Tribolium castaneum: one gene and its partners. The protein of the gene in region 1 purifies or fractionates together with the protein of each later gene. This does not show direct contact. Links are inferred from orthologs where the notes say so. Each region holds a gene or a part of one and is shown in the gene's direction. Other genes may lie near its edges.

The links.
Region 2: the proteins of N (region 1) and Dab purify together in Drosophila melanogaster (affinity purification with western blotting; 4 studies listed by BioGRID). This does not show direct contact. The link is inferred for Tribolium castaneum from reciprocal best matches to the Drosophila melanogaster genes N and Dab.
Region 3: the proteins of N (region 1) and Ser purify together in Drosophila melanogaster (affinity purification with western blotting; 5 studies listed by BioGRID). This does not show direct contact. The link is inferred for Tribolium castaneum from reciprocal best matches to the Drosophila melanogaster genes N and Ser.

What each region holds. Positions count from the first base shown.
Region 1 is NC_087400.1:125,332-129,431, reverse strand, and holds the start of N (notch), read left to right. Parts: upstream 1-1,285; 5' UTR 1,286-1,837; coding exon 1,838-1,922; intron 1,923-4,100. Other genes in the region: CCDC151 (myosin heavy chain, clone 203), read left to right, coding at 1-767, 821-1,051. UniProt on the Drosophila melanogaster protein: Essential signaling protein which has a major role in many developmental processes. Functions as a receptor for membrane-bound ligands Delta and Serrate to regulate cell-fate determination.
Region 2 is NC_087396.1:23,476,439-23,480,520, forward strand, and holds the start of Dab (protein disabled), read left to right. Parts: upstream 1-1,230; 5' UTR 1,231-1,411; coding exon of another isoform or gene 1,412-1,433; 5' UTR 1,434-1,808; coding exon 1,809-1,845; intron 1,846-1,904; coding exon 1,905-2,134; intron 2,135-2,178; coding exon 2,179-2,322; intron 2,323-3,138; coding exon 3,139-3,276; intron 3,277-3,321; coding exon 3,322-3,537; intron 3,538-3,590; coding exon 3,591-3,915; intron 3,916-4,082. Other genes in the region: probable RNA-binding protein CG14230, read right to left, coding at 1-455, 505-704, 752-928, 976-1,032. UniProt on the Drosophila melanogaster protein: Together with Abl, involved in embryonic neural development. May have a role in eye development. Acts as an adapter protein for SH2-domain containing proteins during sevenless (sev) signaling.
Region 3 is NC_087396.1:10,169,703-10,173,354, forward strand, and holds part of Ser (protein jagged-1b), read left to right. Parts: intron 1-2,634; coding exon 2,635-3,204; intron 3,205-3,652.

The sequences.
Region 1 (4,100 bases):
TCAAGCGAATTGAGGAGGAATTAGCGTTGCAAAATAACGACATTACCGAACTGCAACACGTAATGAACGAAGCCACGAAAAAACGGAGCACAGCACGTGGACACCTCCTTCGAGAGGAGAAAATTGCAATGTCAAGTGCACATTTTAGAGATAGACAAACTGTGGAAGGCCAAAGATTGGTTACGAGGCGAAAACAAGAGTTAGAGTTGCTGGAAAAACGTATTTTCCAAGTTGTGAAAGTCGCAAGAGTTGAGGAAATAATTGAGGAGGAAAATGAAACAATGCTCACAACTTTATCACCACCGGAGGAAGTTTTAACTCGGGCTTTCGAGGTTTTGAAGAAAGCGACAGGGGCCACTAACACCTCGGAGGTTTTACACAAATTTAACATGCAAAAAGACACCTTAGAACGGCTTATTTTGCTACGGAAAAAATCAGAAAGCGAGAAGAAACAACTCGAGAAGAATTTGGACGATTTAAACACGCAATTGGAGTTTTTCAAGTACGCTGAAGTGAAGGAAACTGAACGCAAGTCGCTTAAAATGGAACAAATGCTAAGCCAAATCGACGAAATCAAAAACATATCACTCAAAACCAACAATTTGAAACTGGTGAAGGATAAGACGATTCAGACGATTCTCCGATCTGTTCAAGAGTTACAAGCTTGCATTAACCCGATTTCGGTGCCAGAAAGCAACGTTTTGGGCACTTTGAAGTGCATTAAGTCCGATTTGGCCAAAATTATCCGCATTGAAAACGAAGAAAACGTAGCTTTTTTAACACATTTTTTACCATTCCTTGTAATAAATTAATTTATTAGGTCGTTAAACTTGAAGATATTGAAGAAAAGTGGTTGCCGGGACCGTACAGTGGCCTAGTACGTAGAACTCCAATTCCCCAGCCCGGGACTTCCCCGGCTCCTCCTCCACCTCCCACGGGATCTGAAGACGAGGAGGAGGTCCCGTCCAGGACTTACTTGAAACGTCAAGCCCAATTAGTCGTCGATGCGAAGTCACGGCGCAAAAATATTCGAATTCCCGCAAAAAAATAAAGGAAGTAAAATTTTTTGTGTAATAAATTTGCAAATAACTATGTGAAAATTTTCCGCTGAAAATAACAGTTAGACGCAATTACGACATAAACTGGGCACAATAAACAATAAAAATTCACGCAGCGCGAAATTTGAATTTTTTGTTTGGCGCGATTGGTTATTGGTACAAAAAACCATGGTTACCGACTATCATTCCTTAACAACCAGATTGTTTTGGTGAAAACCCGCGTGAAACGTGTGTCAAGAGCGAAACCAGAAACTATCTAATCGTGGTCATATCGCAGTTTTGATTTTTCTTTCGTTCGGTAAACGAGATAAATCTGAATCAGTCTGAATATTGAATCCGTCATTGGTTGGGGGAAGAACCACCGACATTCCAACATGTTGCTGTGAAAAGTAGTACCGAAGAAATTTTCTCACGCGCTTATCTCCCGTCTTTGGCACTTTCGCGCAATAGGTTGCACACGAATCGTTTCAGTTTGTGAAAAACTGTCCTCGGTGTGTTTTTTCCGCTGGCTTTTGGCCATTTTCCGGTGAGTTTGCCGAGATAAATCGGCGTAGGAATACAAGAATCATCCGGTGGCCATCTTGGCGCGTCTCAAACAAAGCCCCCTCTCAGAACGGAGTGTGCTGTGGTCGGTTGTGTATTGTGCGTATTTCAAGCGCTGAAAAAACGCAAATTTTCAATGAAAAACACTGAAAAAGTGGCCGAAAGCACGCGGAGAATGTGTCTAACGTAGTGGTGCGTGTGTGGAGTGTGTGCCCCATGAGGGAATTTACACGAAAATGTGGATTACTAACTGGAAGGATTATGATTTACGGATTATAGTGTCTTCCGCGGTTTTACTGGCCCTAGCGAATGTAGCAACAGGTGAGGACCACTCGTAACAGCCCCAAAACAGGACTTTCACATAGATTAAGACGGCTGTGAAGTCAAAATTTTTGACGTTTTGAGCGAGAGCAAAATGGCGCCGCCGGATGAATTTTATCCCAATTATTGCATTGCTGGACCATAATTAGGCAAATATAAAGCACACTTCCGGCATGAAATGTAAACAAAACGCCAGGTTCTCAAGTACCACTTGATACTCGCGTAAACAAGTTAAGTGACGGAAAATCGTAATTAGGGGATATCCTGAGAAATTTTACGAAATGTGCACATTGCCAGTTATGCAAAATAACCAGAAATCCGTTGGTGCACAATTTGAATCCTTGTTAAGCCGTTGGTTGCTATGGTTTTTAATGTCAAAATGTGAATCGTTGCTATGGTTCTAATGTCAAAATATTGTATCGTTGCCATGGTTTTTATTCTCAAAAATTGCAGCAAAATTAAATAAAGATGTGTAGATAATGAAGTGCTGGGATTATGTGCACTGTTAAGTGTAACAAACCTGTTGTATTTCCGCGCTGTTGTGTGTGAAAAGCGCGCGGTATAATTTTTTACTTTAACTACTTCTGGATTTTCAAGCTGAAACTTACGCCAAACGATTCCTCTGAGTGCCCTGATGACCGTACACTATGAATTTTCTTGTGCAAATTGAAAATAACATTACAAAAATAATTTTTATTTTCACTCATTTCACTTGAATCGCCATTTTTGTTGATTTTAAGGGATACAACGTTCGCCACCAGGGTGTGCATGCGTTGCGTGTGCTTATTTCTGATTGGTTGTTATTGTTTAGCTTCAACAGGTAAGAATCGCACCTGCGTGTTTGTTATGATTATAACACCTTCGGGTATTCCCAGAATGAATTTAAATGACGTATTATACCTTTTTCATTAAAAAGTAGGTGTATTTTTTCATATTTTGCAATTTGAATTTATGTCTCTGTGCTCTGATTGGCTGATTGACGGAAGTGGGGATGCATTCCCGCATTTCCCTTCATGCAACAACACAACCAACAACACCACTCCATTACTATTTTACTTACTAGTGGTGAACAAGGTATTTTTTTGTGAGTGCTACGTTCTTGAGGTTAATTTACCAATCGTGGTGTATATTTCCTTTTAGTTAGCTGGGGCGCAGCCCCAGCCTCCTGCCACGAACTGTACGGCACCCTAGCTCCATAAAAAACACTATTCCACGTGTCGAGTTCCACGTTTTCGAGTTTAATTGGTCGTGGGGTATGTTTCCTTTTAGTTAACTGGGGCGAAGCCCCAGCCACGCGCAGCATAGTTCCATAAAAACCACTATTCCACGTTTCGAGTTCAACATTTTCGAGTTTAATCGTCCGTGGGGTATGTTTATTTTTAGGTCGCTGGGGCGAAGCCCCAGCCTGCTGGGGCGAAGCCCCAGCCTGCGGGCTATCATCTGTAGGCGCCTTGCCTCATTTATAGTTATATTTACGGCTAATATCATTTATTAGAGTGTTAATAAAATTTAAAAAGTCTAGGTCAAGGTCATTCAAAGTAGAATTTTTCGAAAACGGGGCATTTGCACAAACTTTCATGGTCATATCTTTGATCTAGAGGCTTTTTAAAGCAAAATGCAAAAAAAAAATTTTCAAAAATCCAGAAGTAGCTAAAGTAAAAATTTACCAAGCGCGCAAATGTGCTAAAGATTTCAACGTTGGATGAGAAACCGAGCCAAAAATTTAATTAGTTGTGTGGCGAAAAATCTTACGTCATTTGACGGAACCGATAAATATTTTATTAATTAGTTTAGTTCTCAAGAATAATCAAGAGTTGCATGAAACCAGTTATTTAGTTCACGCAATCTGCATCTAGTGAGTGTGTTTTCGTATTCCCAGCTCACTGCGTTCACTTTGTTCTTTTTCTCTAGGGAATTTGAATTTTAATCATCGTAAAAATTATACCGAGGGAACAAATAAATATTGCGACTTGAACCCGCGCCCGTTTTAGACGAGACCACCTGTCATGACCGTTACAGAACTTTTATACATAGGGGGGTTTAAAGTACGTCGGGTGTGACGTCACGACACAGCTGTATATGCTCATACACACATGTAAAAGGACGCTTAAAGATTAGATATTTACACAAACTTTGAAAAAAAAAATAAAGAAATTGTGCAATATTACGAAAATTGGG
Region 2 (4,082 bases), on another chromosome or scaffold:
TTACAGTGTTTGTCTGAGCCTTTGTTTCAAATTCTTCAGGTTTTTTCGTAGTTTCCGCATTTTTGGGTTCTTCCGGTTCATCGTCTGACGAATCGTAATGGAAGGGATTGTCATTCAGGAAAGCGTTATTCCGTATTTTATTGTTGGTTTGTGTTTCATAATTTTCGATCGAGTTATTTAGTTCGTCTTTTTCTTCCTGTCCGAACAATTTTAATAGGCTAAATTCTTGTTTCTCTTCAAGTGTACTTTTTAAACCATCTTCTACTTTATAAAAAATCTCTTTTGAAACAACTGGCTGCTCTTGCTCTTGAATATTGGAATCTTCTTTCTGTGCATCTTTCAGTTTTTTCTTTTTCTTGGTTTTTGGAGCAGACTCATCTTGAGTTACACTCACATGGAATTTCACATGATCTGACTGTGAGGGATCATACCGCACCATTCGCTTTTTCTTTGACCTAAACAATTAAACCCTTGTATAAAAAAATAACTAACACCGACACTTACCCATCCTCTTGCACCTTAACATCTTTCGTCTTTATTTTGGTTCCCAAAACTTGCTCTAAAATATTCAACTCGTGTTTCTTCTCGTCTTCAAGCGAGCACTCGCCATTTACGACATTTTCCTCTTCGTCATTAGCATCAGCAAACCGTTCGTCCAACGCAAACCTTTTATCACCCTTGTATTTCGTCTGTAGCTCAAAAAGCTGCAACAAAACATGAGCAAAGCAATACCACATTTTAATTATTTTACTTGGTGCCCTTTCTTGCCACTAAACTGAGGCTTTAATTCAAACCTCAAATCGTCTTCAGCTTCGTCGTCACTTTCGAAAAGCGACTTTTGAGGCTCATGGTGCGAACTCGCACCGTTAAGCTGAGAGGAGTCGTCCAGATTTTCGCGAAAAATAATTTTTTTGTTGGGCTTTCCATCCTTAAAAGCGTGTTTTATTTAAATACAATCGAGCACAAAAAACTTACGACGTTGGTGAGAGCATCTTTTATAATCAACTTTTGCTTATCAAGGGTTTTAACCATTTCGTCAAAATTATAAAATAACGAGGTTATAACGGTAAGGTTATGTTAAAACCAGGTTATGTCAAGTCGGTTACAAAACTAATTTCCCTAACTTGATTTAAATTTTTTCTTTCGAAAAGGTTTTTTCCAAAAAATTTTCAAAAATTGCAATTCAATTGCATTAGAATTGCACGAGTAAATGGATGGTTTTGGACTAAAGACGAGAAAATGCGGGGAAATTGCAGTAATTGCACAAACAACTGTTATGGAAGAGATGAAACCATGATGGTATGACGTTACTGTGATGGATGCCGCTTTTATGGTACATTTATCTCCATGACGGTGGTTTCTTGTGATTTCGGAAAATTTGCGCCCCAAGTTGGAAGGAACCATTATCCAAATGGTTGAAATACCATCAGAGGGTAGTTTTTCTTTTTTTTTTAACTATTATGGCAAAAATCAGGTGTTGGGTTATTTTCTGGTAAATCGTAGAAATAGAGCTAGAGCTTGTAAACTTTTTCAAAATCAATAAAATGTGATTACACCACGCCGAACTGAGCATGTGCAAGCTTCAACCCCAAACTTGCTACACCCCTAAATAGGGTTGATCAATGGATTCAATGATCAATATAAGAATTAATTCAGTGCACACAAAATGAACCACTTTCAGCTAACCGCTCTGTAAATACCCAATTTCCATTATTATGGGAAGTGTAAAGTCAATTTATAATGTGATAAAATGTGATGGTTTGGTCCCGGATGGTTAACAGTGTTTTAAAACCCACCTCTGACTAACCATGCAAACATTACGCAAAAAAACAAGTCCCCTGAAATGTGAGTATCCTTTCGAACGGTTTCCCCGTCTTGCACTCGCTCACTTCTCCCCTTATCAGCGTATTTCCTCTCAGATAAGAACGAGACCACCCGATTCCTGGGCGATGGTGTGAGTTTTAAGGCCAAACTGATCGGGATTTTGGAAGTGTCCGAAGCCAGAGGGGACCGCATGTGCCAGGAGGCCCTGTCTGACCTGAAAATGGCCATCAGAGCGGCAGGGGAGCACAAGCAGCGCATCACAATCAACATTGCAATTGACGGCTTGCGACTAAGGGACGAAAAAACAGGGGTGCGTACCACCACCAGCTTTAACCCCCTAATAGTGGCTTTCAGGACTCCCTCTACCACCACCCGGTCCACAAAATCTCCTTCATCGCTCAGGACATGACCGACTCAAGGGCCTTTGGCTACATTTTCGGCTCCCCGGACACCGGCCACCGGTTTTTCGGCATCAAAACGGACAAAGCCGCCAGCCAAGTAAGTCAAGTGGGCAACACAGAGCCCTAACAGACTCGGAAAGTAACCACTCACAACTTTATACTTAATTCAAGTCACAAAAATAACAGTATGGACAACTATAGTGGCGGTCAGCTCGATTTGCGTGTGCGTCATCAATTTCATTTTTTCATTACCAACACAAAGCTATAAAAAATTATCAAAAACAATGCAAATTTAAACAGCTAAGGGCTACCTAAGGGTGGTATCCTTGAACATTAATTTACATGTGCACTTCGACAACACCGTCAAGTGTCACGAATTTGTCAACCTGACATTGACAGTAAATTATAGACGTCATCGCATGGTTGTCGAAAGTGTTATCGGTGTTAATCGCAAGTATTTTCTGTTCGTTTATTGTGTTTTGTGATTTGCGTTTCGTTAGGTTTTTGATTCTGCGTTTATTAGTTCTTGTTTTGTGAATCTGTATTTTTTGTAACAACTCATAATTTAAACACTTTGTAACCTCAAAAAGTATTTGATAGTTTGTCACCGCTATGCCCCTGCTATGTAAACTTAGTGACAGAAATGTCAGTTGACGCACACGCAAACGGAGCTGAGCGCTACCATATCAATGAAACTCCTGGTAAAAAATGAGCAATAAACTCGTTAACAAACTACTTATAGTCAAAAAAGTAAAAAAGTTACTACTAGAATACTATATATAATTTTCAATATGTGTAGAGTTACCTGAGTAATTACTTTTATTACTGTTATAAAATTGTGACGTTTGTTGATGTTGCCAACTTAATTTCAAAATCATGGCCTATTGGATGGTGGTACAAGTGCCCCTTTTAGGTGGTTATAGCCATGAGGGACTTGTTCCAAGTGGTTTTCGCCCTCAAGAAGAAGGAAATTGAGTTGGCCAAGCAACATTTGGACAAGAGTCGGTTCACAAGCTCGCCCCTCTTCTCAGATTCTGTCTCAGCATCAAAGGTACAGTTCACCGATTTGCCAATTTTGTTAAATGGGGGTTTGTAGCCTGTGAGCCAGGAAATCGCCAAAAGCGCGGCCAATGACAGTAAGGCGTCGAATTCCGAGGGTAAAACGAGCGGGACAGCGGTGGCCGACTTGGTGGACTTGGAGTTGGAGCTGAACAGCCTTCAGCAGGGCCTCAACCAGATGGAAAGGATCACTCCGTCTGATCCGTTCGGCTCGAAGGATGACCCGTTTGGTGATAGTTTTACGAGTTATACTGTAAGGCAATGTTTAAGGTCTGGATTATTTGGTATAATTTTTGTATAATTTAGAAGCCGATTTTGCCACCGCCTCCGTCTTCTGGAAGGGAGAGGTCGAGTCGAAGTTCGGATTCCAGCAGTGTTTTTAGTCCGCGGACACCGCACACTGCAACCAGTTTGGACGCAAGTTGTGATAATAGTTTAATTAAGTCGAGAGATGAAAAAATTAAAAAAGACGCTTTTCCGCATCATGACGATGATTGGTTCACTCAGTCCACGAAAAGCATATTCAAAGAACCTCCCCTAGTGCCTGAACCCACCAAAGATGAAAAACACGAAATGACCAAGCAGGAGATTTTGTCACAATTTGATGTTTTCACAGAGTTAGATCCACTTGGTAAGGTTTTATTTTACGCAACAATATTTTTTTTCTTTTTGTTAGTCGTAATTTTAGTTGGTTTTCATGTCAAGTTAAACACACCATATCACATGTCCGAAAAAAGTACGCTGTGAGATATTTTTTGCACGGCGATTACAACGGAGCCGGAATTTTTCTCGTCGTAA
Region 3 (3,652 bases), on another chromosome or scaffold:
AACTCACGTAATTTGGAGAGATTTTGACGAAAATAGCTAAAAAACGACATTTACTAGGTCTGTATTTAAGTTTTTGTTCGTATCTCGGTTTTTACTTATTTCTGTTCAGAAGTATTAATTTTCCGCCGATTCAAGTTTTAAGCGAATTAACCGGTTTTTGTGGTAACTAACTAAATTCAAGATATTTTGCTAAAATAGCAAATGTATTAGTTTAGAAGTTTTGTTGATTTTTCTACCAGAAACAACCTAAAAATAAATAGCTGGAGATCGTTATTTACTTTATTTGATAAATTTTGCTATAAATAAAACATAAAGTGGTTTTAGGTTTGAATTACGTTATTTAAGCTAATTCCAAGCATTTTAACACATTTTTTGAGACACAAACTAACAAAAATCAATCATTCAAAGCTGTACTTAATTAATGGTAAGAGATGAGTCAAAAAATTGAAGTTTTACGTTATTACGATCACATTTTCTTGTATAACTACAAAACATACGTGGATTTCTATAACTTCATTAAAAAGTGTGGTGTCTTACGTAATTGCCCACCAAAAGTTATTTAAAGAAAAACATCACTGACTTCATAGTAGTATACCGGGTGCTCAAAAACTGGCGCACCAACTCAATGGAGTGTGGAAGAGAATTGGTTACATATAAAGGTAAAAATAGTTAAAAAATTCTTTGTATTAAAGTTATTGTTAAATAACGGATTTTAAATAAACGATATGTGGCAACGTTGTCTAACAGTAGAGATCACAATTGAATGTGATCAACAATTCGGAAATAAAATTAACTAGACGCCCTCTGGTGATGACTTTTAAACTATGTCGAAAACAGTAAAGAAATTTTCGTAATGCCACATTTAACTGACATTTAATGAATTGTTCAACAATTTTGCGTGTGTAGTGTTAATTACTTACAATAGAAAGAATTACTTTAAAAGTACGTGGTGGTAAATACTAGCGTTGACTTTGGTTCTGTAGTTTTTCGTGGTATAAAGTGTTTATTGTTGGAACTTGAAAGTGGATAAAAAGTGAAAAATATTTAAATTTTGATTACAAAGTGTTATCAAACAGTTGTCTAATTAAAGATTATAAGTAATGGATCACAGCGAACACAAAGTTTGGCTCATGAAACCAATAAATTAGTGAAATGTTATGAATTTTAGGTTAAAATTTTCCTCTGGAAAAATCATGAAATGCTGCGGTAAATCTACAAAACTACAATAAAGATTAACAACTGCTGATACATTTAAACGTAAATTATGCCAAAAGGTAGGCTTTTCAATGTTTTTGTAATAATTTTCCAATAAAGAAAGTGAACCAAACAGTCATTCGTTATTCGTGTTTTCCTCGTCATCTCTCATTTGTCAACATAAGTTTCTTGCATCAAAGATGCAATAATCATTCCGCATAGGCACTGTAATAATTGTGAAGCCCCAAAATTCGTACAACGCTCAAAATATCCGAATAAACATTTTCCCGCCATTTATGGTTACTGTTTTCGACCTAGCTCAGTGGCGCCCCCAACGGTAATTTTATTTCCGAATAAAAATAAATTATTTTTGAAATGGTTGCCTAGGAAATAATTCCCAGTGTTGGCACATCTACAAACTGTGATTTTTTTGATGAATTTTAATTTTTTTAAATACAAAAAACTGCTAAAGTCTGATAGGAAATTTAAAAATAATTATTCATCGTTGTGTTAGCGAACGATTACTTAGTGTGAAACATAAAAATATTAAAAAATAATGAAAACTGAAGAAGTTAACAAAATAAGTTTGTGGCTCCAGATTTTTTAAAATATGACTTTAGGAATTTTTTCAAGATTTTTCCCGTGATCTACACATGCTTCTCAACAACGTACCACTGAATTGGTGCGCCAGTTTTTGAGCACCCTGTATTAAAGAACAAGTTTTATAAGGGTTGCGCACGAGAAAAGAGGCATAGGCAAGTTTTCTGTGGGATGAGTGCGCCAAAACCCTTATAAAACGAGTCTTTTTTTCTAATTTTTAAACTTTGGGCCCCCTTTTTTATTTTGATTAATTATTTTTTTGTCTTCTAGGGATTTTTGTGTCAGTTGGTAACGACAATAATAATAAATGAAGAAGAAATGATGATTAAATCTAAATAATAATAAATATAATAATAATAAATAATAAATATCCCCAAATTCATTAAAGTACACTGTACTTTAATGAGACATAAACGATTCCTGTTGAAAGATGTTAATAAACGTATTATAAACGCAAAATATAAATAACCATTTATACAGGTGCTCAAAAACTGGTCCACCAACTCAGTGGTACGTTATTGAGAAGCAAGTGCAGATTACGGGAAAAATGTTGAAAAAATTCCTAAAGTCATATTTTAAAAAATCTGGAGCTACAAACTTATTGTGTTAACTTCTTTAGTTTCAGTTCTCTACCACACACCATTGAGTTGGTGCGCCAGTTTTTGAGCACGCTGTAGAATAAATTTGTGAAAAAGTTTCATTTGTGACTTTGGCCACTTTTTGCAGTAAGCTCACAATATTAAAGTTGTATTTCTGAAATGCTCGAACAGAATTTGTGTTTACAATTTTGAGAACAATTCATTGAGTCAGAAAGTTGTATAATATTCTTTGCCTTTGCAGACACGGACGACTGCAGCCCGAACCCTTGCCGTAACAACGGCAGTTGCGTGGACCGAATCGCCGACTTCGAGTGCAACTGCAAGAACGGCTGGAAGGGCAAAACGTGCTCTCTCAAAGACAGCCACTGCGACCACACCACGTGCAAGAACGGCGGCACTTGCCAGGATTTGGGCAAGACGTTCATGTGCCGATGCCCTCCCGACTGGGAAGGCACCACTTGTCACATCGCCAAACAGACGGCGTGCCGCTCCAACCCCTGCCTCAACGGCGGCACCTGCGTCAACACCGGCGACTACTACCAGTGCATCTGCAGGGACGGCTTCGAGGGCGTGCACTGCGAGGACGACGTCAACGACTGCATCCCCCAGCCGTGCCAGAACGGCGGCAAGTGCATCGACGGCGTCAACTGGTTCCTCTGCGAGTGCGCCCCTGGATTCACAGGACCGGACTGCAAGATCAACGTCAACGACTGCGCCTCCAACCCCTGCGGATACGGAGGCACTTGCTTGGATAGAATCGACGATTTTGATTGCATTTGCTCGCCCGGAAGGAGCGGAAAGCAGTGTAACGGTAATTAATATTTATTATATTCACGACGAAAGCAGTGGCGGTTCGTGGGTTCGAAAACTTGAACCATTTTTATCCACGAAAGAGACGATATGAAATACAAAATCACTCGATTTTAATTTTCTACTATTTTTGTCATAATAGAACTTTTGTGCAACTCCTTTTAGTAAATTTAGCCATCACTGTAATTTAGTGTATGATCTGTCAACAGCGTCAAGTCGTTTATTGATAAAGCCCGAATAATTAACAAAATTAACAGGAAATAGTTTAAACAGGTTTTGATAAGTTAAACTAAACAAACAAACAACAAAAATAGAAAGTATAAAAACACTCGTTTTATAACACTTAATTGTGGCACTTATTCTATTGAAGCACTCCTTCGTTGTGCTCCATTCGTACCACAATAGAACGTCTCATAAAACTCGTATAATAATATACTATTCCATAAGAA